6 linked regions of the Coturnix japonica genome follow. The protein of the gene in region 4 purifies or fractionates together with the protein of the main gene of each other region. This does not show direct contact. Links are inferred from orthologs where the notes say so. Each region holds a gene or a part of one and is shown on either strand. Other genes may lie near its edges. The genes, in order: NEDD4, NEDD4L, HECW2, ARRDC1, ZMYM2 and YAP1.

Region 1 (4,300 bases), on a different chromosome or scaffold from region 4:
CAGTACATCTGTTATTTTCAAGACTGAAAATTTTACTGTAGCACAAATACAAATCTTACCTTCTTTGTTCTATTAATGCACAAAAACTTGGGCATGAATTTATCAGCCAGTTTTGGGATGGCAAGATTTTGGCTAATTGGTGCCAATCGGTGGTGTTGCATAATGAACATAGTATTATTTAGATTTTAGGAACAAAATGTAGATTCGATGTTTAATTTTGGTCTTATTTGTCCAACAAGCGCACAGTCAGAATATGCACTGTATTGTTGAGCGTTTCAGGAACTGGGAGGTCCCAGTTTTGTAAGCGACTGCTGAAGAACTCTTGAGTTCTGAATTTGGAATGTGAGAAAACTGCTTTTGTGTAGCATGCCCAAGTGATGATGAATTTCCCTCCTCTTATAAACAACCCAGATCTTGAATAATGAGGAAATTGTGACCTTATATAAAGTAACATCAGTTTAAAGTATCATCAGTTTCCAGTCAGAGCTTTTCTGCAACATAAAAAAATGCTGTACTCTTGGATATCTTTATATGTATGGTTAGTTCTAGAAAGCAATTTTTTTTTTTATTCCCATCTGATAAACTTATTAGATGGACTGCTTGGTCTTGTGCCATTGGTGTTATTTTAATTCTTCTCACTTTCCTTGTTCTCTTTCAAGCATTACTATTGCTTTCTCTTTTTTCTTATTGCTTAGAAGCTATATCTTCTCATCCTTCTCTTTTATCAGTGCTATGTAAGGAGGAAGAAGAAGGTCATTTTCTTGCATTTGTTTGCTATACCTTTTTATAATAATTTTTTGACTGATAATTGTTTTAATTTTTTCTTGCTGTGGCTTTGTCCAAGACCTCTAGTTTGGCTGATAAAGATAGACCATTGGTTTAAAATCTTCCATAGAAGTACAGTGTGTGGTTCACTAGTTTGCCATCCCTAAACTTAATCCTAAATATTTTTAGGTTATGCATCTCAATGTTAGAAAATACGTTTTGGTCCTTTTAGACCTCTAGTTAAACCAATTTGCTCTGAGCCACTGTTATTGGAAGAAAACAATTTTAATCTGGATGTCAGCATCATTTAGTTTTTGCTTTGATATACGTAAAAGCAATGATACATTTTTGAACTCTCATACCAAGTTCTGTGAGAAACAGCCATTTTAATTTTGACTTTTTATTATTCTCCCTGTGCTTATACAGAAGGAAAGAAGTATCTCATTTGTCTTAATGACACAACCAGTGGAATTCAGCAGATATTTTAACTACTCTCATCTTTCTTTTTCCTAGGTTAATCCTCAGAAACACAGACTCCTTTTTGAAGTGTTTGATGAAAACCGTTTGGTAGGTCCTTTTCTATTAATATTGCAATTTAATAAAGGCTTCAGTGAAAATAACTTGATCTGGATTCAATGTTCAAAATTAAAATAATAATAATAATAATAATAATAATAATAATAATAATAATAATAATAATAATAATAATAATAATAATAATAATAATAAACTGGAAAAAACAAAAAGAACAACCCAAAGGAAGACCTGATTTGTTTACTTTTCTGCCACTACCACACTTAGATGTTCTGAAGTAATGAGGCCTTAACTCTGAACTTCTAACGTGCTTAACTCAGAAGCATTTTTTCTTACATTGCTTCTCCAGTGCTATGACCAAGTGACACTGAAAGCTCTCTACTGAATGCTTATTTTTCTTACAAAGCAGCATTGACAGTGTAGATGTTTGTATTCATGGGGGCATTTTTTTCAATAGCATGAAGGAGCAGTGGGACAGAAATGTGTTTCTTTGTCAACAGGCAGACACTGGAGTGTTACTTTGTTATTCACTGAATGAGTTATCGTAAATAAAGTGGGGATAGCTTGTGCATTTGTGTCCTTGGTGAAATTCTAACTCCTGACCATGTTCTTGTTTCCTACATGAGGAGTCTTCCTTTTTTATTCTGCCCATATGCTCAATTGTAAATTACAGAGGCTAACATTTGTGTTGTAAGCCAGTTTAACAGACATTCTATCTCAGTGGAATATATACCTTTCCAATTAAGTTCTACTGAAGTAGAGACTTGAGTGGTCTCTAGCTTGCACTTCAGACACTTTTTTGCTCTGTTAGCCATTTTGAAGAATATCAATGCCTGAGGAATGTGTTAGCAGCAAAAACCCTTTCATTTTTTCCTAATGCTGTCTGGATTGTCAATAATCTGTTGTACCTTTTATGCTAATGGTTGAAAGAATGGAAATGCCTGCAAATCGAATTCTGATTTCTTTTGAATAATTACGTCTAAGAATGGAGAGCTTTATTTCTTGGTTGTAGCCATCACACAATAACAAAGTCATTTTATTGCTGGCTGGTGGTGGTTCTTGTCCCAGATATTTCAAATATTTAAAGCAGAAACTTTAAATGGAATCACCAGAACTTGTGGTTGACGTGTCAGGATGCTCAGAAGTTAGTCTCAGAATGCTGTTAAGGGCTGCAGCGCAGGCTTGAAGTACAGTCCATAGTCTTTGGAACCGCACTGCCACCAGGTGGAAGTCAGGAGGCATGACTAGAAAATCTGAGGCCCAAATTAAGGGGAAAAAAGCAGAGTTTGGTTTCCACCAAGGGAATTCCTTGTTGTTCATTCTCTAAGAGAAAGTAGATGAGTTGTTTGACCTCTTTGCTTGTGGGAAAGGAATCAACAAGACATCTTACTGGCATCGGTGTGAAACTATGCTTTGTTTCCTTTATGTGACTGAGTTTGGAGACCAAAGCAGCATGACCTAATCACTCACTATGTAGTTCTGTGATAACATGTTTTTACATCTTTCCTATCTCCTCATTCAGTCAGTGGAAAACGCTGTCTTCCTATTTCTACATAGTTTGCTTTCTGTTAAATGAACACTAAATTTCCATCCCATGTGTCTTGAACTACTTCAGTTGGTCAAATCATTACTTTTGCTGTGGTTCTTGGGAGACTGACAGTCTTGTTCACTTCTGTTGTCTTCTCATGTCAAAAAATCATGGATGCCTCATGATTTTTCACAAGGATATGCACGCAGCTGTGCTCAAAAGGTGTTTCATCTTCGGTGATTATAGTGGGCTTGTATGGCAATCAGTCATTCTTTGTTCTGCCTGCTGGCCAACTGTTTAAAATGTAGATGTGAGTAAGTTGATAACACTGACATTCTCTTACAGTTGTGGGACTGTCTTCATCTTTGTAGAGTTCTGTCCCACGTGTTTTAATTCCCATTAAATTCTGAAGAGAAATTGAAAGCTTGAAATTTCTTCTTGTTTTTAAGTAATGTTGCTTTCCTGAAAACTTGGTTCAAAAATCCTCTTCAAAGTTTGGCATAAATTGGAAGTCCTGCAGGACTGGCTTTATCACCAATACGTCTTAATGACAAGAGTATATGCAGTAAAATTGTTGCAGGTTTTTGTTGCATATGAAACTGACATGTTAGGAACTGTGCTACTGATAGGTGTATTGTTGGGACAGATAGGTTCTTGAAGAACTGCATTGTTTCCTCTTCATTCGCATGGTTAAGGGTGTGTGCTTTTTAAAATATACTGCTTGTAGTTCAACTGTAACTCTTTTAAAACCATGACCAAAAAAGCTTTTATGGTATTTTACTTTTCTTCCTGCTCCAACACGTAACATTAGAAGAAATCCAGCTGGTGAAGCATAATGGAATAGACGAACTATTGTATTTGTTGGCTTTTATGAATAAGGTAGTATTCATTTACTGCTGCATTCTAATCATGGAATTCAGGTAATGGAGTTTAAGTAAGCCCTGGAGTATAATTAGAAAACAAATTTGTTGCTTGCAAATAGAGTTCTGTGAATTGGATTCTTGGCTCTTATTTGGGAAGGAGGTTTAAATGTTAATTTTATTACCTTCTAGCTTAAAATACAGCAAAGGTTAAATAAATATGGAGCAGAAAAAAATCTAGTAGTGTGACCTATAAAAGTATAAATGGCCTAGTGTTCTTCTCTGTTTGCGCTTTTTCAGCAGCACTAAGTAATTTCATGCTAGTCTGGTACCTTTTTGTACTGTATGTATGTATTTATACTGTACATATGGCTTCTGTATTCATAAGTACATTCGTATCAAATATGTTTCAAAAAAAAGAAAAGAAAAATAAAACCCACACAAAAAAGAAAAAGAAATATTGAAAGGCAAGATTGCCTTTTTTCAGAAGTCCCACTAGATGCCAGCAAAGGACCTTTCCAGATGATGAGACAGCGAAATGTTTGTAAGATCTCTCAATCCTGTTATTCTTTCAAGAGATGACAGTGTATTAGTTGCTTTCTATGCTCTTCAT
Region 2 (2,913 bases), on a different chromosome or scaffold from region 4:
TACCCAAGGAGGTTGTGGATTTACCCCCATCCTCTGTCTTTCCCCCCACTAAATCACCAGTAGTGTTTGTTCACCTACTCAGATGTACTTATTTCTCTTGTTCAAGGGTATATGCTCATAAAGGTTAGAACGGAACGTCAAAAGAATTGGTAAGTCTGGTGTTCAAATGCTGAAACACCTTCATGCACCCGTTAGCTCCTCAACCCTTTTGCTGACATGCACACAGCATTTGCTGAGCATTATTAGCATCAAGCCGTCTTTCCAGCGGCCTTCTGAGCTAAGATATCGCCCTGCTAAGGTCCGTGGTGTAGCAGCAGGCCAGAGGTTGCTGGGCAGAGAGGTGACCTTCTGCTTCCATGCTGTACCAACTTGCTCTGTAAAGCATCAAAGTGGGCTCCCGGGGAAAAGTCCTGCACAAAGGGCAAAACCAACCCTGCCTGCTATGCAGCCAAACCCTCACACCTCCTGCGGTGGTGCTGTAACCATTTAAGTTCAGTGGATCGAATACAAATCTTTCACTTTTAATCCATCACACAAGAGATGCAACTCAAGACATTATAGTTTAAGCATGCAACATGTCATAGGTAACAAAACTGATTAGATAGATAGCAGTGTATATTAAATAAATCTTTGTGATTAAGTAAAAAATAAATCACAAAAACAGTTGCTGAGGAACATGTCTGCAGGCTCAGCTCTACAGCTGTTTGTTTTCTCTTTTATACATCAGCAGCAGCCAAACTCACAATTGATAAGATATTGCACCAGAAAGACATGTGCAGTGAGAAGGAACATAATCACATTAATGTTTATGATAAAAAAAACACAGATATGACTTCAATGTGTTACATAAAGTGCCTTTAGAGTTGGTGCAGTTAGAAACAAAAAAAAATAATATTGTGTTTAGATATCATTAGCAAATGCACACAAATAGGAGACAAAACAGATCTGTTTTTCCATAGCGCCAAATCACACAGTGCCAGGTTTCCTTCAAAATGCCTCCACTGCACACAGCAAAGAGGAAAGGATAATAAAAGAACCACTATACAAAGATAAGGACAGGGTTAAGCATATTTTCCTAAATGATTAATGCCAACCCTACCCCCAAAATGTTCTTCAGTACATGTAAATATCACCAAGGAATAATGAGGCAATTTCTTTATTGAACATGAGATTTGGCATGCTATGTTATGACTATCCCCAGACTCGTAACTATTATTTATACAAAAACGCAACATAGAATCCATATCTCATCTGGATACAGAAAAATATTTATGTGCTCTTGATACAGCCAATATAGAGAAGAATTCCAACATAGCTGTTTTCTACTCTCATAATGGTTTGGGAACACAAGGCTCAAAATGAGCTTGAAAAAAAATGACACTGGCATAAAATCTGGTACGAAATTAAGAAAAATGCTCGTTTTTCTTTTGCTTTCCCCAAATACATGACATTTAATTGTAATGAAATAAAATCTGAAAACATCTAAATCAATTAAAAAGTAAACATGAGTTGTAATACTATCCCTGTAAAATGATTAATTCCATTCATTGTCATTAGAAATTATGTAAAATTTTTATTAAGGGCTCAGCCTACAGAGGCACGACATAAATACAGTAAGTCCTGCTGAAATGTAGTCAGAGTACATATAACCCCATAGTGACTGGCCGTGGTAATGTCAAAAAAGCCATCCACAAGCCAGAGTTCAAGATCCTGCATTTTAGGCCACCGCGTTGTCCAAGAGGTCGCTCCAGGAACCAACGCCGTGAGACGGTTCTGCCACAGTCAGAGTCCTTCGTGGAGGAGTGGAAGCGCAGCAGAACGCGCCGAAAGGTGGGAAGAAGTGCCCTAATCCACTCCTTCAAACCCTTGTGCATTTTCAACCGCCATAAGGAGCTTCTCTCGCAGGTCGTCGAAGGATTCGTAAAGAGGTAAGTCTAAGCGATTAAAGCTGAAATTGAGAACGGAAAGGAAAATGGAATTACTCGACGCATTTCAAATGCATTTTTCTTCAAAGAAATAGAAAAGGCTGAATAACTTGGGTGTGAGACAGGAGTGTGTTATCCAATTGGAAAGACTGGGGCAGTCTGGATGTTGCACTGTGCAAACCTAACCAGTGCCAGCTGCTCCCTATGGGCACAGCGACCAGCTGAGGCCAACCTGGCTGCTGCCAAGAAGAGTCTACAGGAACTGCAGGCTGTCTTCTGAAAATAGGAAGGTTTACATTTATAACCACCCCTATAGAGGAAAAGAACTGTAACACAGAAGGTGGAAAACAGAAGACCTGCATGAGGATGAATGAGCTCTGGGTACACACACAGCCAGCATGCACGTCCATCAGCCAGCACCAACCAAATCACCTTTCTCATGTTTCAGTGTGTGTCTGCCTGCCCAGTCCCTGCACTGATTTTCTATCTATTAAATAACATTTTCTATTCTTTTTAGGACCCACACGCACTGTGACACACACACCAGATCCACCTGCACTCAAACAAACTCATGCACAGATGCGCTGAACACACACACACACACACACACACATACCCCAGACTTACCATGTGTGAGCTCTGGGCAGTTTATCAGGAGTTCCCCATTGCTCTATTGTAAACAGCTGAGGACCATTTGAACCTAGTTGGGAAAAAAAAAATCCACGAAAAACCTGAGTTAATGGATCCTACAGAAATCACTTCAATTGCTGTATTAAAAACTGCATGTTTACCCTAGTTGTAACTTCCATTTTCAACTGGTGCAAAGTACTTTGTACAAACACCCTGAGGTCAAAATTACATTAAAGCAAATGAGGATGTGGATGTGCTCAAGGCCAGGTTGGATGGGGCCCTGGGCAGCCTGGGCTGGTATTAAATGGGGAGGCTGGCAGCTCTGCATGCAGCAGTAGGGTTGGAGCTTTGTGATCCT
Region 3 (3,500 bases), on a different chromosome or scaffold from region 4:
ATCAGTCCAATTAAGTTTCTCAGTTCATTATAACAGCTCATCTTTTGTCATACACACCACTGGCAAACATATTTTCACAAACCTCCTTAATGCAAGCCATTGTTGTTGCATCCTTTGCTGACTTTCCTTCCAATTCACTTCTGCCCCAGGAACTTGAACTCTATGGTGCACCCCAAGCAGGCACTCGTAGTCTTAGGTTTATCAAGTGCTGGATATGCTGTTATAACACATGGCATTAAGTAATGTACCTTCATGAATATACAAAAGAAAAAAAAAAACAAAAAAAAAAGAACAAAAAGTATATTGTATGATTTTTCACTGATTTACTGTGTAGGTGGGGCCTGAATGATTTCACATTTTGACTTGAATTTTCTATTCATCGACTTTGGTGAAATCCAGTTTTCAGACTCATGTCAGTTTTGCAGTAGCCAGGCTGACCTCAACATGGGATCGCACATTTCTTGTTTCCTCACAACAAAACATAGGAAGTCTGATCATCCTGAAAAAGCAGGGATTGCAGGACTTGGTTTTCCCTACACTTCAGCCACGCTCCAGATTCACTGTAGAGAATTCTGCCACTATCACAATGCTTTTTAATTGCTTCATAAGCTCTTTCACGGAACCTCATTATCGGAATGGCAATCTGAAATCCGGTACAAATGTTCATTCGTTCTTTGAGAAGTCAGATCCACAAAAGTTCATAGAGCAGGGCACTGTGGTTTGTGTATCACTCAAGTCCAAAAGTACTCGTCTCTTCTACTGCTGTCAACAGTTTTTCATACAGCATAGAGAACGATGGATATGGGGGAAGGTCCAGACGATTGAAACAAGTGTGAGCCCTGAGGGAACAAAGAGGAGGTAAAGAAGTATATTATTCTAAAAGGTCAAAAGAAATTAGGTAGACTGATATGCACTCGCATATAAATGGCCAAACAGTGTTCTTTCAGAAGATCTTGCTCTCTCAAATGATGTTTTCCAACCAAACAAGTAGTGAGGTTTAATGTACATTTTTCTGATTATAACAAGCCAGTAAGATGCATTCATTAAGGCATTCAGAAACATACTTACAGCTCAAAAGACATGTGATAAATTTTACCCGTTAAACGTGCACAGGACAAGAATGCTGTAACGTAATACAATTCAAGTAGTCTACTATGAAACATTAGTTTTCAATCTATCTTAGAAGTTGTGTTGTTTGTTTTTTTTTTATATGGATGATACCTGAATACGGTATTTGTAATCCATCGCAGGATGATGAATATGCACAAGGTACTAGATTTGATGAAACATTAAATGATATGCTAAGTATTTCAAGGAAACAATCGCGTGGTAATTAAGGACAGACAAATCGAATGCTTTTCCTTGCATGATTCCTCAGCATTGATCGTGTTTCTGAGAAGTTGTTGTAAATAAGCACGAGCACTATCAGTGTATTCAACCCAGCAAGTCAATGACCTTTAGATTTACTGTTTGTAATTACACAGAACTATGCAAGTAGCTATAAAACACCACTGTGCCTTCTTAAGAGAAAAATCACATGGTTGGTTTCTTGCTCAGATTCCAAAGTCCACCTTTGAACTAAATCTTGAGACCCCTTCCAAGGAATAAAAAGGGAAGTAATGCATCTTTCTTCTCTTAGTGGAATAATGGGTAGTGTGGCCTGACCCCCAGGGCACGCCAAGAATAATACTTACTAAAATACAACAGTGAAACAGATCTAGTGAAATAGATAGAACTATTAACCTGATGAGTTCTTGAGAAAAAATGTTGGGAAGACAAGCTGGAAGAGGTATCTTCTCCACTTTGAAGCTTTATTACCAAAGCCTACATTTCCCCAGCATGAGCTCCAGCAGCTCAGTAAAAACTTCTTCACTCTGCCACCTCACTAAGGCTCTTGGAAGAAAGCTTTCTTTGCTTTTCTGTTTTGCCTTTCCAAAACCAAAGTAACAGTGTATTTTTCTTTTTCTATAGAAGTTTCCACTTAGAAGAAAGAGGCTGATTTAGACCTGGCAGCAAATGGACAATTGGAGCAAGGTGTCTGGAATGGCTTAGCAATCACAGTAAACTATGGCAGAGTCTCATGCAATTTGCAGCTTAACCGCATGCTTCTGCTGCATTGGGCTGGAAACCACTCATTAGAAGTATGGATCATGCTGTGTGGGCTGTAAAACCACAAGTTGTGAAAGACATAGCATATAATTAGCAAAGGCTTAATAGCAATTTGGCATATCATTTACGTTTATTAAGAGAATTGAGTTTTATCTTAATTTTGAGGGCAATTTTGAGAACATCATCACCTACTTTGGAAAACCAAGTCATTAAAAAAGACAAAAACTTAAGATCTTGGTCTATTGTGGGAATCTCTTTCTCACCCTTACGAGAAACTTCTTAAGGCTTCAGGAAGAAAGGTTGTTTGTTGTTTTTCTTTGTTCCCCTGGACAACATTTTCCCACTCCATCATCTCAAACCGTGTGGAAACAAGACTTCCATGTTCCTGGACTCACATTTGAGGACAACATGAAAAATAACTTGGTTCCTGAAGTCCAGATTTCCAGTTAAGCTTCACTTCATTGTAATTTGAACAGTATTACAGTAGCAAAAACACAAAATCATAGAATGGTTTGGGTTGGAAAGGACCTTTAAGATCATCTGGTTCCAACCCTCCTGCTACAGGCAGGAACAACTCCCTCTAGACCAGGTTGCTCACAGCCCCATCCAGCCTGGCCTTGAGTGCCTCCAGGGTGGGGGCACTCACAACCTCACTAGGCAACCTGTGCCAGTGCCCTCACAGTACAGGGTCATGCTTGTCTTGATGCAACCCAGCATACAGCTGGCTTTCTGGGTTACAAGCACATTGCCGGCTTATGCAGAATCTTTCATCAACTGACACTCCCAAATCCTTCTCCTCAAGGCTGCTCTCAAGCCCAGCCTGTGTGTGTAACTTAGGGATGAAGATGACAGAGGGCCTGGAGCACCTCCCCTGTGAGGAAAGGCTGAGTAACCTGTGTGTGTTCAGCCTGGGGAAAAGAAGACTGAGAAAGGATCTGATAAATGTTCATAAATATCTAAACGGAGGTGGGAGGCAAACGGATGAGGCCAGGCACTTCCTGGTAATACGCAGTGATAGGACAAGGAGTAATGGCCTAAAATACAGTAAGTTCCATATTAACATGTGGAAGAGCTCTACAGTAAGGGTGATGGAGCACTGGAACAGGCTGCCCAGGGAGGTTGTGTAGTCTCCCTCTATGAAGATATTCAAGATCTGGCTGGATGCCTACACATGCAACCAACTGTAGGGTACCTGGTTTAGAAGGGGGTTGGGCTCAATGAACTCTTGCAAACCCTGAGATTCTGCGAACCTGATACACCTCACAGATCCAGTAGTGTTTACAGACAGGGCTTTTTTGGAAACCTCTTCAAAGTTTGCTATTCAGGGTCACTCTTAACAATGTCTTACCTCCTAGCCAGTACTACTTGGTGTTTGCACGCTAAGTCTCTGA
Region 4 (3,500 bases):
ATTCCCTGGTGGATGGGTGGGGGGGGGGGGAAGGACTTGACACTGCTCTGTGGTGCAGGGGACCCATTCCAGCTCAGCACAGCCATGCTCTTTGCTTTGTCCCCAGCATCAGAAGTACTGGTGTGCCTCATAGACACAGGCAGAGCCAGTGCGTAGTGGTGCTTGATTAACACGAGTTGGCATCTGCCGCTGTTCATCCCTTGCCCTTGAGGATGAAGCAGTGCTTGGGTGCTCCAGGTCGTGGTCGGGCTGTGACTGGGTGAGCAGGGCTGTGGGTTGGCTGTTCCTCCTTTGGGACTGGAGACTTTGAGCCTCAAGCAGCCCGTTCAGTCCGGACTCATATGGCAAAACACAGTGAAGGGGACTGGGGTGTGAGCTCTGCATTCCCCCTGCAGAGTGGGCTGGGTTTGGGTTTCTTTCCACCTTGAGTTGGGCTGGCAGGGCAGGCACTGCACGGAGCGGTGTGGGGTGTATGTGAGCAGCATCACTTGCAGCTCAGTGCTTGGGAGGAAGGAGGTGGGGAGCGTGGAGCAGGAAGGCAGCCCTGAAGTGGGGCAGATTGGCTGCCTGCCTCCAGGGGAGAGGCTTCCTGTGAGATGCTGCTTGGACGCAGCAAGTGGGTGGGTGAATTGGGAGGAGAGCCTGTCTGGTGGCTTACCAGCAGGTCCAGCACGGGAGCTCTGTGGGATCTGTTAAAGTTGTTGCAAAACCTGGTGGGAATCAAGACAGGAGACATTCAGGCTGGAGCAAAGCACTGCAGATGCCTCTTGCTGTGTAACAAGCAGGGCAGACTCGGGGACGACTTACCCAAGGCAGGGCACAAACAGCTCCAATTCTGTGTTTGCTTTGGGAGAGTCAAATGGCATCTTAAATGCTTCTGGAGCTGGCTATGTGGCTTTGCTGTCAGTCCTGTATCTCTCACAGGAGGAGGAGGTGCTCTCTTGAAGTGGTCTCTGGCTGCTGAGAAGCACCGACACTCAGCAGCCCTGATGCTGAAGTCACTGCTGGGGCCTTTACAGTGAGCCAGCATGAGATCTTCCTGGTGCTGACAGCTGCAAGTAGCACTGGGGGAGCAGAGAGAGTGTGATAGTGCTGAGAGCAAGGGGAAAATGTGCTCTGGGCTGGAGCTGTGACCTGATTCCCCCACTCCCTTTTTTCACCCTGTGTGTTCATGAGGCTCTGTGCAATCATTGTGGCTTTGCTTTCTCCCTGACTTTTGCATGTTGTTTCTCATTAACAGCCATCAAGGTGAGCTGTGTTGGATTCTGTGGGGTGTCAAACAAGATCAATGACACTGCCTGGACCGTGGAGGAGCAGTACTTCAACACCACGCTGTCTCTGGCAGACAAAGGTGAGCTCCACAAGGGTTTGGTGGTGACCTGTGGGTGTGTGGATTCTTACTGGGAGGTGGCTGACTCTGATCTGCAGCAGTGCAGTGATGTGAAATGCCCCTTCATAGGCTGCTTTGACTTGTGCACAAAGTATATGAGCTGATATTGGAGGCAGCAGGAGCTGTGCAGAGTGGCATCCCAATCGGCTGCACAAATATGGGGTGTCCTCTGGCCCTGCTCTGCTTAGAGTGGGGCTGTCAGCAGCCACGTTGCTGCTGCTGGTGGACATCTGTGAGCACAGTGGTTGTGAAAGCCCTATGGCTTAATCTTACTCTGCTTTCCACGTGCTATCTATGGGAGTATCAAAACACTTATCAAAACTGGTCAGCTGAAGCTGGTGTCAGGCTGGGAGTGGTTGAACTACACTGGAAGGGGATATGGAGGTGTTGCTCAAGCTCCAGGAGAAGCACTGAAAGGGTGGCATGAGCAGCCTACGGCAGCTCCCAGTGCACAGCTGCCAGTCGAGGTGCCTGGAGATACAGCAGTGGGGCTGTGTTATCCTGTGGGTAAAGTGACACCAGTAGCCTCAGGGGAATCTGGGCTCGAATGAATGCTGTCGTTCTGCTATTAAATAGGTCAACCTTAGCATAAATAATTTGTGCTGTGCTCTGGCTCCTATCAGAACCAAGAGGTGCCTGTATTCACCTGCTGAGGGCAGTGGCTGTAGCAGGGATTGTAACGTGGCATTAGGCCAGGCTTGCAGTGCAGTCCTCTGATGCTGCACTGATCCTTTGATCTACTAACAGGAAATGGGTGAAGCTGAAGTGGCAGCTCCTGCCAGCTCAGCGATTTCTCAGGCAGAGCTTTTAGCATGGAGGGGAAACTGACCTCACTTGGAGATGATGCTGCTTGCTCAGGTCTCAGGAAGGGAGGTGGCTGGTTGGCTGCTCAGTTTGGCTTCTAGCCTAGGGGCTGCAGGAGGAGTCAGACTGCTTGGGAGGGCAATGAGAGATGGTCCTGCTTTTAGACATGGTAGTGATCACAGCCAGGGAGCTCAGCTGTGAATGCTGGGCTGGCAGAATCCTGGAGGCTTTGGAAGGGGCTACAGGCAATTCAGTGCTGGTGAGCTGGAGACTGTGAATAATAGCAGGCTCCTGGAGAAGCTTAAACTGCACTGACAATGAACTTCTACATGTTTTTCTAGTGTTAATGATTCATGAGGAAACTGTGCTACTGTAGATGGTTCTGTGCTGGTAAGGCTGTCACAGCAGAAGCCTTGGGATAGGAGTGGGTATAGGAGGGTTCTCAGCCTCTGGGAAATGCTGATGGCTGCTCCTGCAGTTGTTTATTGCAGGGTTGCAGCTCTCAACTGGAGCAAATGTAGACTATGAAGGACAAAGCTGTCCCTTAATGTAATACCTTTGAATGCTCAAATTCCAGAAAGCCTCCAAAACTGGTATTCCCAGCTCCTAAAGTTGTCACAGAAAGCGTTAATATTTTTGCTCTTGACTTTTCTGGAACCCAAGTTGTTGTGCACTGCTGAGTTTGTGTGTCAGTGTCAGTAGTGCAGGCAGCCTGGGCCGTGGGTGCAGTGAAGGGAAGATCTGCCCTGTAGGACCACCAAGCTTGGACCTGAGGTGTGTTGTGCTGTTACTGCCCTGTCTTGCAAAGATACATTGGAGTATTGGGTAAAAAGCAGGTTGCAGCTCTGAGGGCTGATTCAGGCAGACCATGAGGGAGGACCCCAGGTGTCCCCAAGGCCATGCAGTCACCACATGCCCAGCTCTGCTGTCCTTGGGGCTGCAGCAGCCCTGCTCCTGTGATGTGGAGCAGAGAGGGAAGCTCAGTGTGATAAAATGCCCGCATGATCTCTTCCCATGTTCTGAGTGGCAAAATAAATAAGAAGAAAAACAGCCTGTGCTCTTGAAGGACATTCTGGGGGAAGAGGTTTGCAAAACTATGGAGACTTGGAACACTCTCCAAGCGTTTGAGAGCATCTCTGCTCTTCTGCACCCACACACCTTGTTGCTCGACTATGAGTCTTATGTGGCATCATCTATCATTTGTTTTACAAACAACTTATTTTTTCTTAAAGGGTGTCTATTGCATGAGAGGAGACAGACCATGAAAATATCCTGTGCGCCCACTTAGCAGCACAAGGCACTATTT
Region 5 (3,500 bases), on a different chromosome or scaffold from region 4:
CCCAAACACAGGAAGGGTATGGAGCTGTTGGAGAGGGTCCAGAGGAGGGCCATGAGGATCATTCAAGACCAAGAGCACCTCTAAGATAACAGGCTGAAGGAACTGCCCTTGTTCAGCCTGGAAAAGTGAAGGCTGCAGGGAGATTTCATTGTGGCCTTCCAATATTTAAAGGGAGTTTATAAATATGAGGGAAATAGGCTTTTTACATAGGTAGATAGGGATAAGACAATGGGGAATGGTTTTAAAGGGAGGGAGGTTTAGATTAGGTGTCAGGGAAACTCTTTACTGAGGGAGTGGGGAGGTGCTGGAATAGGTAGCTCAGAGGGGTTGTGAACACCCTGTCCCAGAATGTGTTCAAGACCAGACTGGAAGGGGCCCTGCGCAATCTGATGTAGTACTTGATCTAGTAGCCCTTCCTGTGGCAAGGAGGCTGGAACTTGATGATCCTTGAGGTCCCTTCCAACCCAAGTCATTCTATGATTCCTTGAATTTAAACATAATACTGTAAAATACAATTTCATGTAGTCACAGGTAACAAGATAGCAATTATAGTGCGTGTAACTGAGTGCAGGAAGTTGAGCCTACAAGTTAAACCCACTTTGTTAAGCACCGTAAACACTGAGAATTGATCAAATGTCACAATACATTGCATACTAACTACTTCTGACTAACAATCAAATCATCCAATTCAGTTTTTATTCATTCAGACTGTATGAATTAAGAGGTCTTTTCCAGCTTTGATTCTGTGATTCACCATTCTTTGAGTGAATAAAGAAGTACACTCAAGCCATAAATGAAACTTCGCTCTTTAGACAGAAATATTTATATCTGAAAACACCTGAAGCATTACTGCACAATCTGTGATTCTGTGACCTGGGATACTTTACCTACACAAGACATCAAGTCATTGAAGAATTTTTTTTCTAGAGTTGTAGATAAAGTTGTGATAAGGATCAAGAGAATCAAGATCTTTTATAAGAATTAAACTTATAAACTACTGCAGTTCAACTGACCCCAAAAAAATTATCAAACTACTTTAAGGTAATGGTCAGAATTCTAACTTACCAGGATTATGATGAGTCACAGATTCTCCATTTTGAAATACATCTCCAGCCACATTCATTCTACCAGGATTGAAAGGTCCTACACCAGTCTTGGTCTGTGAAGTTAAAGATGGGGTGTATGTTTGCATATTAACACCAAAATTACTTGACTGCAGTCCGTTAGATACATCTCCCAAGTTGGCATTCTGCAATGATGTTACATGAGTAATCATTAAGTTCATGTCACGCCCTTCAGCATTTTCTACATGACCATCACTCACAGAGCTCATAGTACCTGTTTCTAATGTAGTTACATTAGCAATCTGAATGTCAGAGTCTGGTTCTGTGGATATACCACTACTACCAATTCCTGAATTTACCTTACTTCTTGAAAAACTGGAAGCTGAGAAATCCATATCGTTGGCTCTGTTTTTACACTCAGGAAGTCTTCGCTCATTAAAACTGGAAGCATTCTTCTCTTGTCCTTGATTTGTTTCAATATCTTCTTCATCATCAATAATAATAGTTTCGCTTATACTCCCCTTTTGAGAATTCAAGTCTTTCGGAGGAGGAAGCATTTTGCAATCATCACCTTGAAGTTCGTCATTTTTTGACAATGCAAACGCAGCGTTTCTTTGTTCTGCTATCAGTGATGTAGAATTTTGTGGCGTTTGTACAGGTTCAATAAAAACTACATCATCATCATCATCTACTGTAGAGTTCTGGAATTTACCCGGTCTAGAAACTATGGAGCTTGGTGGACTAGCAAATGTATTTCCTACATTTGCAAGACCTGCTGCCATGGTGGTATTTGCTAGGTCAGGAGTATGTTCAGATAGTTCTAAGCCTCCCAGAGAACTTGTGTCCATTCCAGACCTGCTGTTTGGAGAAAAACAAAGCAACAACAACAACAACCAAATGTCAGAGTATGATATAACTTTTCAGTAACAGCTCATAAAAATAACTACACAGATTCCCAGAGAGTTGGTTGAAAGGGACCTCTCAAGATCATCTGGTCCAACACCCAACTACAGAATTTATAGTCTTAGTTTTTATTTGGTTTTCTTCTTGTCTTGGCTAATACACAAAGAAAACCCACACATTTTCTCTATGGTTTTCTTATTTGAATATCTTAACATTCACTTCGTTTCTAAACTTCTACTAGGAAGTGAAAGGGCGAATAACAACATTTCCCACTAAAACAGTGTTTAGCAAAAACACATCAGAAACTGAATTTTTGTTGGTATTCACTACAAGATTTTCATTTCTCAATCCCACTCCTGAGGGACTCCCTCCACCCACAGATACAATGAGCCCGTAAGACTTCTTTCGCTAGACTGCAAAGCAAGGTCAAGATTTAGACCACCATAATAAAAAAACTGAATTCGTATTAAATTCCATTGCTATTAGAAACATTACCAACTTTCAACATCAACAGATTTATTTAAAAAAAAAAAATAGACTGAAGCTGTATCAATGCACATCATTTTCGTCTAGCTGACGTTCCCCCACCCCCACAAAGGCAAATCTCCTTATGTGGTCCCAATATAACTGAGATAGAGAAGCAAAAGAGATATGGAATCGCCACATGCACTGAGAATACACACATTATTACAGGTGCACATCAACTTTGCATTTCTTGCCATTATCAGATGTGGCTCATCTGAGGTCCTGACTTACTACTTCATGTTCCCCAACATGAAGTTCCTGCAGCTCTCAACAGCTTTGATCTCTTTTCTCTCTAACAGCAAGCAATGCTTCTTCAGGCTCCCTCACAACAGCTACTTTGCTTGTGGGTTTCAGTTTGCATTTAGTTCAGTTTGGTCAAATCTCCTGTTTGTAACTGTATCATTGTGAATTAAACACTGATAAGCAGCAAATAGAATATGTAACTTCTGTACCTCTTCTTACCTTCTGCAATTTCAAACGAGCATATGATTGCTGTTAAGAGAATTAAAATTTCTGTAAAGAATACCTGTACTAAAAAAATAGTGAATTAAGCTGACCTTGATACATACAACAGGAAATACACAGTTAACATTAAAATTAAGGTATGTCTGAGTACACACTGACGTGTGACATCACTGAGCATTTATCAAAAGCTACAAGTAGCTTTCTGTGCATTCTTATAAATTCTTTATTAAAGGAAGTTGAAATATCCCTCTCATAAATACTTACCCATCCAGAAATCCACTGCAATCTGTTTACCTTAGTAAGTTGCTCCAAGACCTTTTATTTTTCTTCCTGTGTGTGGCCTGCTCTTCTTGAACCAACTTGCTGCCTTCTGCAAAAGCCGTGTTCTGTTCTGAAACAGTGTAAAAACAAACAGTAAATACCTGAAACGGAGTATACCTAAAAACAGCTCAAATGTCTTCAGTTGTCCTACAGTAATAGGGAAAATGTTTGTCTATACCATCATTGTCATTAGTAATGCAGCCAAAGTGCTGTTTACTCCCA
Region 6 (4,271 bases), on a different chromosome or scaffold from region 4:
ATGAGCTCCAAGAGAGGGAGAACTCCTGGACTCAACCATCAGAGCTACAAAAGGCTGAGCACAGAGTTTCCCAACCTGCAGCCCAACTGCTCTTTAAGGGCACTCACAAAGAGCCTGCCAGCGCTTTATCTAAAGAAAGCTTCCGCAAACTGTTTGACCAGTCAATCAGAAGTGACTCAGAGACCATTCACAGAGCTGCCAGACTGAAGTACGAGAGCTTCTTTGGCAGTAGGAAATAGACGTCCAAAGCCAAAAAGACAAAGCAGAGCTGAAAATTGGGTTAAAAACCTTTTGGTAAATGGTAAACGTACCAAAAAAATTAATCATCTCATAGATACCCCAGAACGACATGGCCACGTGCACTGAGATGCACGTATCAGTCCAGCCACGCCTCTCCATGCAGGTATTGCACCATACAAGGCCCCACTTATATGCTCCTATGGGGACATTTTGCTACAACTATATGTGAACATGTCATTTATTAAACTGGAACCGAGGAGGCTTACTTTTACATTTAAGCAGTGTACGAGGAGCAACTGAATGGACTCTGAGGAGCTTTGATTTTTGAAACAGAGAAATACAGACGTCCTTTCCTGACTGACATTTTATGTCACAAATGAACAAATGGGAACTACGAAAATCACAGAATCACAGAATGACCTGGGTTGGAAGGGACCTCAAGCATCATGTAGTTCCAACCCCCCTGCCTAGCAGGGCCACCAAACATACACATTTACTAGATCAGGTTGCCCAGGGCCCCGTCCAACCTGGCCTTGAACACCTCCAAGGACGGGGCATCCACAACCTCGATGGGCAGCCTGTTCCAGGGCCTAACCACTCTCCTAGTGAACAACTTCCCCCTAACATCCAACCTAAATCTTCCCTCTTTCAACTTAAAACCATTTCCCCGTGTCCTGCTATTGTCGGCACTGTAAAAAAAACGATAGTGAACAACAGAGCAATGGTTCTCTGCCTCCAGCTGAACATCAAGGCTGCACTGTAGGAGCTCCTGGGTGGGATGAGAACCCAAGGAAGGAGCACACACAGAGGATGTGGAGCAACAGGTCACTGCGAGGGAACACCAAAAGTGCAACAGTTGCATGAAAATTAAATGCATGCTGAACTTGTTTAACTGCACATAGATACTGTGTTTGCCAAGACACAGCAACAAGAAGCAGCTGAGCATGTGCAGCCCACACTTCTGTGTAACCAAACTGAGATACAACTCACACCAAGGGGAGCGATCCGAAGGAACCCCATTAATTGGGTTGGATTCAAAGTGCAATTAACAAGTCTGCAGCTCAGAAGCGAGGCAAAAAACCATAGGAGCAGCTGAGCCCCACCCCTGCTATTCTCTCTCCAGTCTCACGCCGTAAAGGCTGGGCAGCCTTTCGAGTACGTGGGCAATGAATTAACTCGTGCCAGGGTTCCGCACGGCGCAGAGCCCTGGGAGCCGAGGGCCTTCACGAAGCGGCCGCTGCGACACGGAGCGAGTTTCGCTCCGGCTGCACAGATTGAGCGGAGGCGGCCCATAACAAAACCGACTGTGCAGCTCAACGTGAAGCTCGTTAGTTCGTAGTGACACCTGAGCGACGCGGCCCCTTCCCGTCGGGGAACGGCGGCGGAGCCCGCTGCCCTCAGCCCGGGACACGAGGGAGCTCCGCGGACGGAGCCGACCCGGCGCATTGCGGACATGAAATGGTGGAAGAGCCACATCCATATTGCGGGGGGGAAAAAAAAAGACAGAAAAAGTTTGGCACCGCCCGCCGCCGTTCCCCCAGCGGCGGACCGTCCCGCAGCGCCGATCGGAACCCTCAGTCCCGGCGCTCCCCGCACCGCTCCGAGGCCTCTCCTCGCCTTTCCTCCCGGCCGGGCCACGGAGCGGATGTGGAGCCCGAGGGCCGCCCGGAGCCCGGGCCAGGACGGCGGCCCCTCGGAGTGGCGGGAGGAGCGGGGAGAGGAGGAGGAGGAGGAGGAGGAGGCGGAGGAAGGCAGCGCGCTCCCGGCCCCGCGCCCCCCGCCCGCACCGAGGGCGGATTCCCGCCCCGGCCCCTTCCCCCCCAACCCCCACCCCCAGCGCACACCTCCCCCGGGAGGAGCCCGGCGGCGGCGCGGAGGGAGGGAAGGAGGGAGGGAGCGAGGGAGGGAAGGAGGGAAGGAGGGAGATCGGAGATCGCGGCTCAGCGCCGGGCCGGGCCGCCCCCCCTCACCTGGCGGGAGTGAGCCTTGGGCTCGGGCGGCTTGAAGAAGGAGTCGGGCAGCTTGCGGAGCCGCATGGGCAGCGTGTGCGGCACGTTGGCGCCCTTGGGGTTCATCACGGCGTTGAAAAGAGCCTCCAGGTCGGTCTCGGAGTCGCCCCGCACATGGACGATCTGGTGCCCCGCCGGAGGGGGCCCCGCGCCCGGCTGCTGCGCGGCGCCTCCCGGAGCTCCCGACACGTTGCCCGGGGGCTGCGGGGCCGCCTGCTGCGGGGCCGGGGGCTGCGCCGCCTGCGGCGGCTGTTGCGGCTGAGGCTGCCCGGGATCCATGTCTGGCTGCGGGACCCCCCCGGCGCTTCCTCGCGGGGCTGGCGGCGGCTCAGAGCGCTCAGGGCCGGCCCCGCATGCCCCGCGCCGCGGCTCGTCCCCTCGGTTCCCCCGGCGCTTCCTACCCCTCGGCGGGGACGGCCCGAAACGGTTCCGGCCGCGCGGCGCTGCCCCGAGCCCGGCCCAGCCCGGCCGGCGCCTCCGTCCCGGCGGCGGAAACTAACTCGCACAACACTCCAAACAAAAGTTCGCAGTTACGCCCGCCCGAATCACTCTGCGGCCGGCTCCGCCCCTCCTGAGCCCGCCCGCACCGTATCCGACCGACACGGCCCAGCTCCTCGCGGCTCCTGCTCGCGCCCGCCCGCACCGCCTCCCGCCCACCGGGCGCCCCGAAGCGCAGGGAGCGGCCCGGCCCCCACAGCGGCCCCTCGGTCTCCTCACGGCTCGGCCCGTCCCGCCGGCCCAGCGCTCCGCTCCGCGCTCCGTCCCGCCCGTGTCCCTTTTGTGCCGCCCGCCCGGCCGCGGAGCCGCGCCGCCAACCACAACTTTTATTTTCCCCAACTTCTCTTCCCAACTTCAGGCTCCCGCCGAGGGGGTGGGGAAGAGCTGGGAAGAGCTGCGGCGCTCCCCTCCCCTCCCCCGCCGCCCCGGAAGGGGGCAGCCCCCCTCGGGGAGACGTGGGGGGGGAAGGCCGGGAGGGGGCACGACCCGCCCGCGGGACCGAGGCGGCGGGGAGCCGGGCCTCGGCCTCACCTGGCGGTGGGACAGCGGCCGAGCAGCGGGAAGGGACGAGCACAGACACATCTGGAGGAGTTACTTTTATTAAATGGGCCGAAACTCGTGAAAACAGCATCAGGAGGGTCAAAACTGGGGAAAAAAAAGAAGAATCACAATAGTCCAACCCCGTGAGAATCAGAATAGTCCAACCCCGTGAGAACAGCACCAAAGACGGGGTGTGTGACGGGCGTTACACACATCTTTCCGTACCCACCGTCCCACCGCCCCGCACCGCGCAGCCCCCGCCCGGCCCGCCGAGCTCAGGGCGCGCCGCCCCCGAAGCGGTGGTACAACGTGTGCACGTGGCGCCGGGCCGGGTCCAGCAGCAGATACGAGAAGGTCTGAGCGTGGGCTGAGCGCGATGGGTAACACAGGCCGCTGCCGTCCTGACGGGAAGGAAAAAGAGGCAGCGTTAGTGCGGAGTGTGTCCCGAGCGGACAGTGCGTAGGATTACACGATTGGAGCCTGAAATCCAGCTGATTAAATACTCAAAGATCCCATCACGTCCCATTAAAACACAAATAAAATAGGTACGGGCTGCATATTAACACATAAAGTCCTTCTAACAACGCTTCTTTTTCACTCGGCGTTTAAGGAAAACCCCTCCGGAGCGCTCCGAGCAGCGCTGAGCTGTTACCGAAGGCAGTTTGTGCCACTGCTCACAAATATGCGAGGAGAATGGACGCCCCGCCCCAACCCGCTCCTGGCAGGCCGCCCCCAGCTGCCGGCAGCGCGGTGGGCTCAGCTCAGCTCAGCACCCGCTGCTGCCCGGCCTGCCCCAGCAGAACGCCCGGCACAGCACAGGAGCCTGAGGGGATTGTTTGGAGGCTGCTTTTCTTTCTGTCGGTTGGGTTTCGATGTATTCAATCCGGAATTCGAGCATCCAAAAGATCAGGAGATCCGTAGCTCGCACATCCTGTCTCTGAATTCCCAGTGTGGTTCCCTCCCGCTCCCCAACACCTTGTTTGG

Evidence for each region.
Region 1: the proteins of ARRDC1 (region 4) and NEDD4 purify together in Homo sapiens (affinity purification with mass spectrometry; 3 studies listed by BioGRID and IntAct, counting the BioPlex papers as one, with this or other methods). This does not show direct contact. The link is inferred for Coturnix japonica from reciprocal best matches to the Homo sapiens genes ARRDC1 and NEDD4.
Region 2: the proteins of ARRDC1 (region 4) and NEDD4L purify together in Homo sapiens (affinity purification with mass spectrometry; 3 studies listed by BioGRID and IntAct, counting the BioPlex papers as one, with this or other methods). This does not show direct contact. The link is inferred for Coturnix japonica from reciprocal best matches to the Homo sapiens genes ARRDC1 and NEDD4L.
Region 3: the proteins of ARRDC1 (region 4) and HECW2 purify together in Homo sapiens (affinity purification with mass spectrometry; 3 studies listed by BioGRID and IntAct, counting the BioPlex papers as one, with this or other methods). This does not show direct contact. The link is inferred for Coturnix japonica from reciprocal best matches to the Homo sapiens genes ARRDC1 and HECW2.
Region 5: the proteins of ARRDC1 (region 4) and ZMYM2 purify together in Homo sapiens (affinity purification with mass spectrometry; 3 studies listed by BioGRID and IntAct, counting the BioPlex papers as one, with this or other methods). This does not show direct contact. The link is inferred for Coturnix japonica from reciprocal best matches to the Homo sapiens genes ARRDC1 and ZMYM2.
Region 6: the proteins of ARRDC1 (region 4) and YAP1 purify together in Homo sapiens (affinity purification with mass spectrometry; 3 studies listed by BioGRID and IntAct, counting the BioPlex papers as one, with this or other methods). This does not show direct contact. The link is inferred for Coturnix japonica from reciprocal best matches to the Homo sapiens genes ARRDC1 and YAP1.

Annotation. Positions count from the first base shown.
Region 1 is NC_029525.1:6,718,155-6,722,454, forward strand, and holds the start of NEDD4 (E3 ubiquitin-protein ligase NEDD4), read left to right. Parts: upstream 1-1,500; 5' UTR 1,501-4,300. UniProt on the Homo sapiens protein: E3 ubiquitin-protein ligase which accepts ubiquitin from an E2 ubiquitin-conjugating enzyme in the form of a thioester and then directly transfers the ubiquitin to targeted substrates. Specifically ubiquitinates 'Lys-63' in target proteins.
Region 2 is NC_029547.1:657,234-660,146, reverse strand, and holds the end of NEDD4L (E3 ubiquitin-protein ligase NEDD4-like), read right to left. Parts: intron 2,626-2,913; coding exon 2,553-2,625; intron 1,949-2,552; coding exon 1,846-1,948; 3' UTR 501-1,845; downstream 1-500. UniProt on the Homo sapiens protein: E3 ubiquitin-protein ligase that mediates the polyubiquitination of lysine and cysteine residues on target proteins and is thereby implicated in the regulation of various signaling pathways including autophagy, innate immunity or DNA repair.
Region 3 is NC_029522.1:329,546-333,045, reverse strand, and holds part of HECW2 (E3 ubiquitin-protein ligase HECW2), read right to left. Parts: intron 840-3,500; coding exon 728-839; 3' UTR 1-727. UniProt on the Homo sapiens protein: E3 ubiquitin-protein ligase that mediates ubiquitination of TP73. Acts to stabilize TP73 and enhance activation of transcription by TP73. Involved in the regulation of mitotic metaphase/anaphase transition.
Region 4 is NC_029532.1:1,154,004-1,157,503, forward strand, and holds part of ARRDC1 (arrestin domain-containing protein 1), read left to right. Parts: intron 1-1,240; coding exon 1,241-1,351; intron 1,352-3,500. UniProt on the Homo sapiens protein: Functions as an adapter recruiting ubiquitin-protein ligases to their specific substrates. Through an ubiquitination-dependent mechanism plays for instance a role in the incorporation of SLC11A2 into extracellular vesicles.
Region 5 is NC_029516.1:160,216,143-160,219,642, forward strand, and holds part of ZMYM2 (zinc finger MYM-type protein 2), read right to left. Parts: intron 3,349-3,500; 5' UTR 3,222-3,348; intron 1,923-3,221; 5' UTR 1,913-1,922; coding exon 1,066-1,912; intron 1-1,065. UniProt on the Homo sapiens protein: Involved in the negative regulation of transcription.
Region 6 is NC_029516.1:163,478,071-163,482,341, forward strand, and holds the start of YAP1 (transcriptional coactivator YAP1), read right to left. Parts: upstream 2,801-4,271; 5' UTR 2,529-2,800; coding exon 2,211-2,528; intron 1-2,210. Other genes in the region: CFAP300 (cilia- and flagella-associated protein 300), read right to left, coding at 3,563-3,688. UniProt on the Homo sapiens protein: Transcriptional regulator with dual roles as a coactivator and corepressor. Critical downstream regulatory target in the Hippo signaling pathway, crucial for organ size control and tumor suppression by restricting proliferation and promoting apoptosis.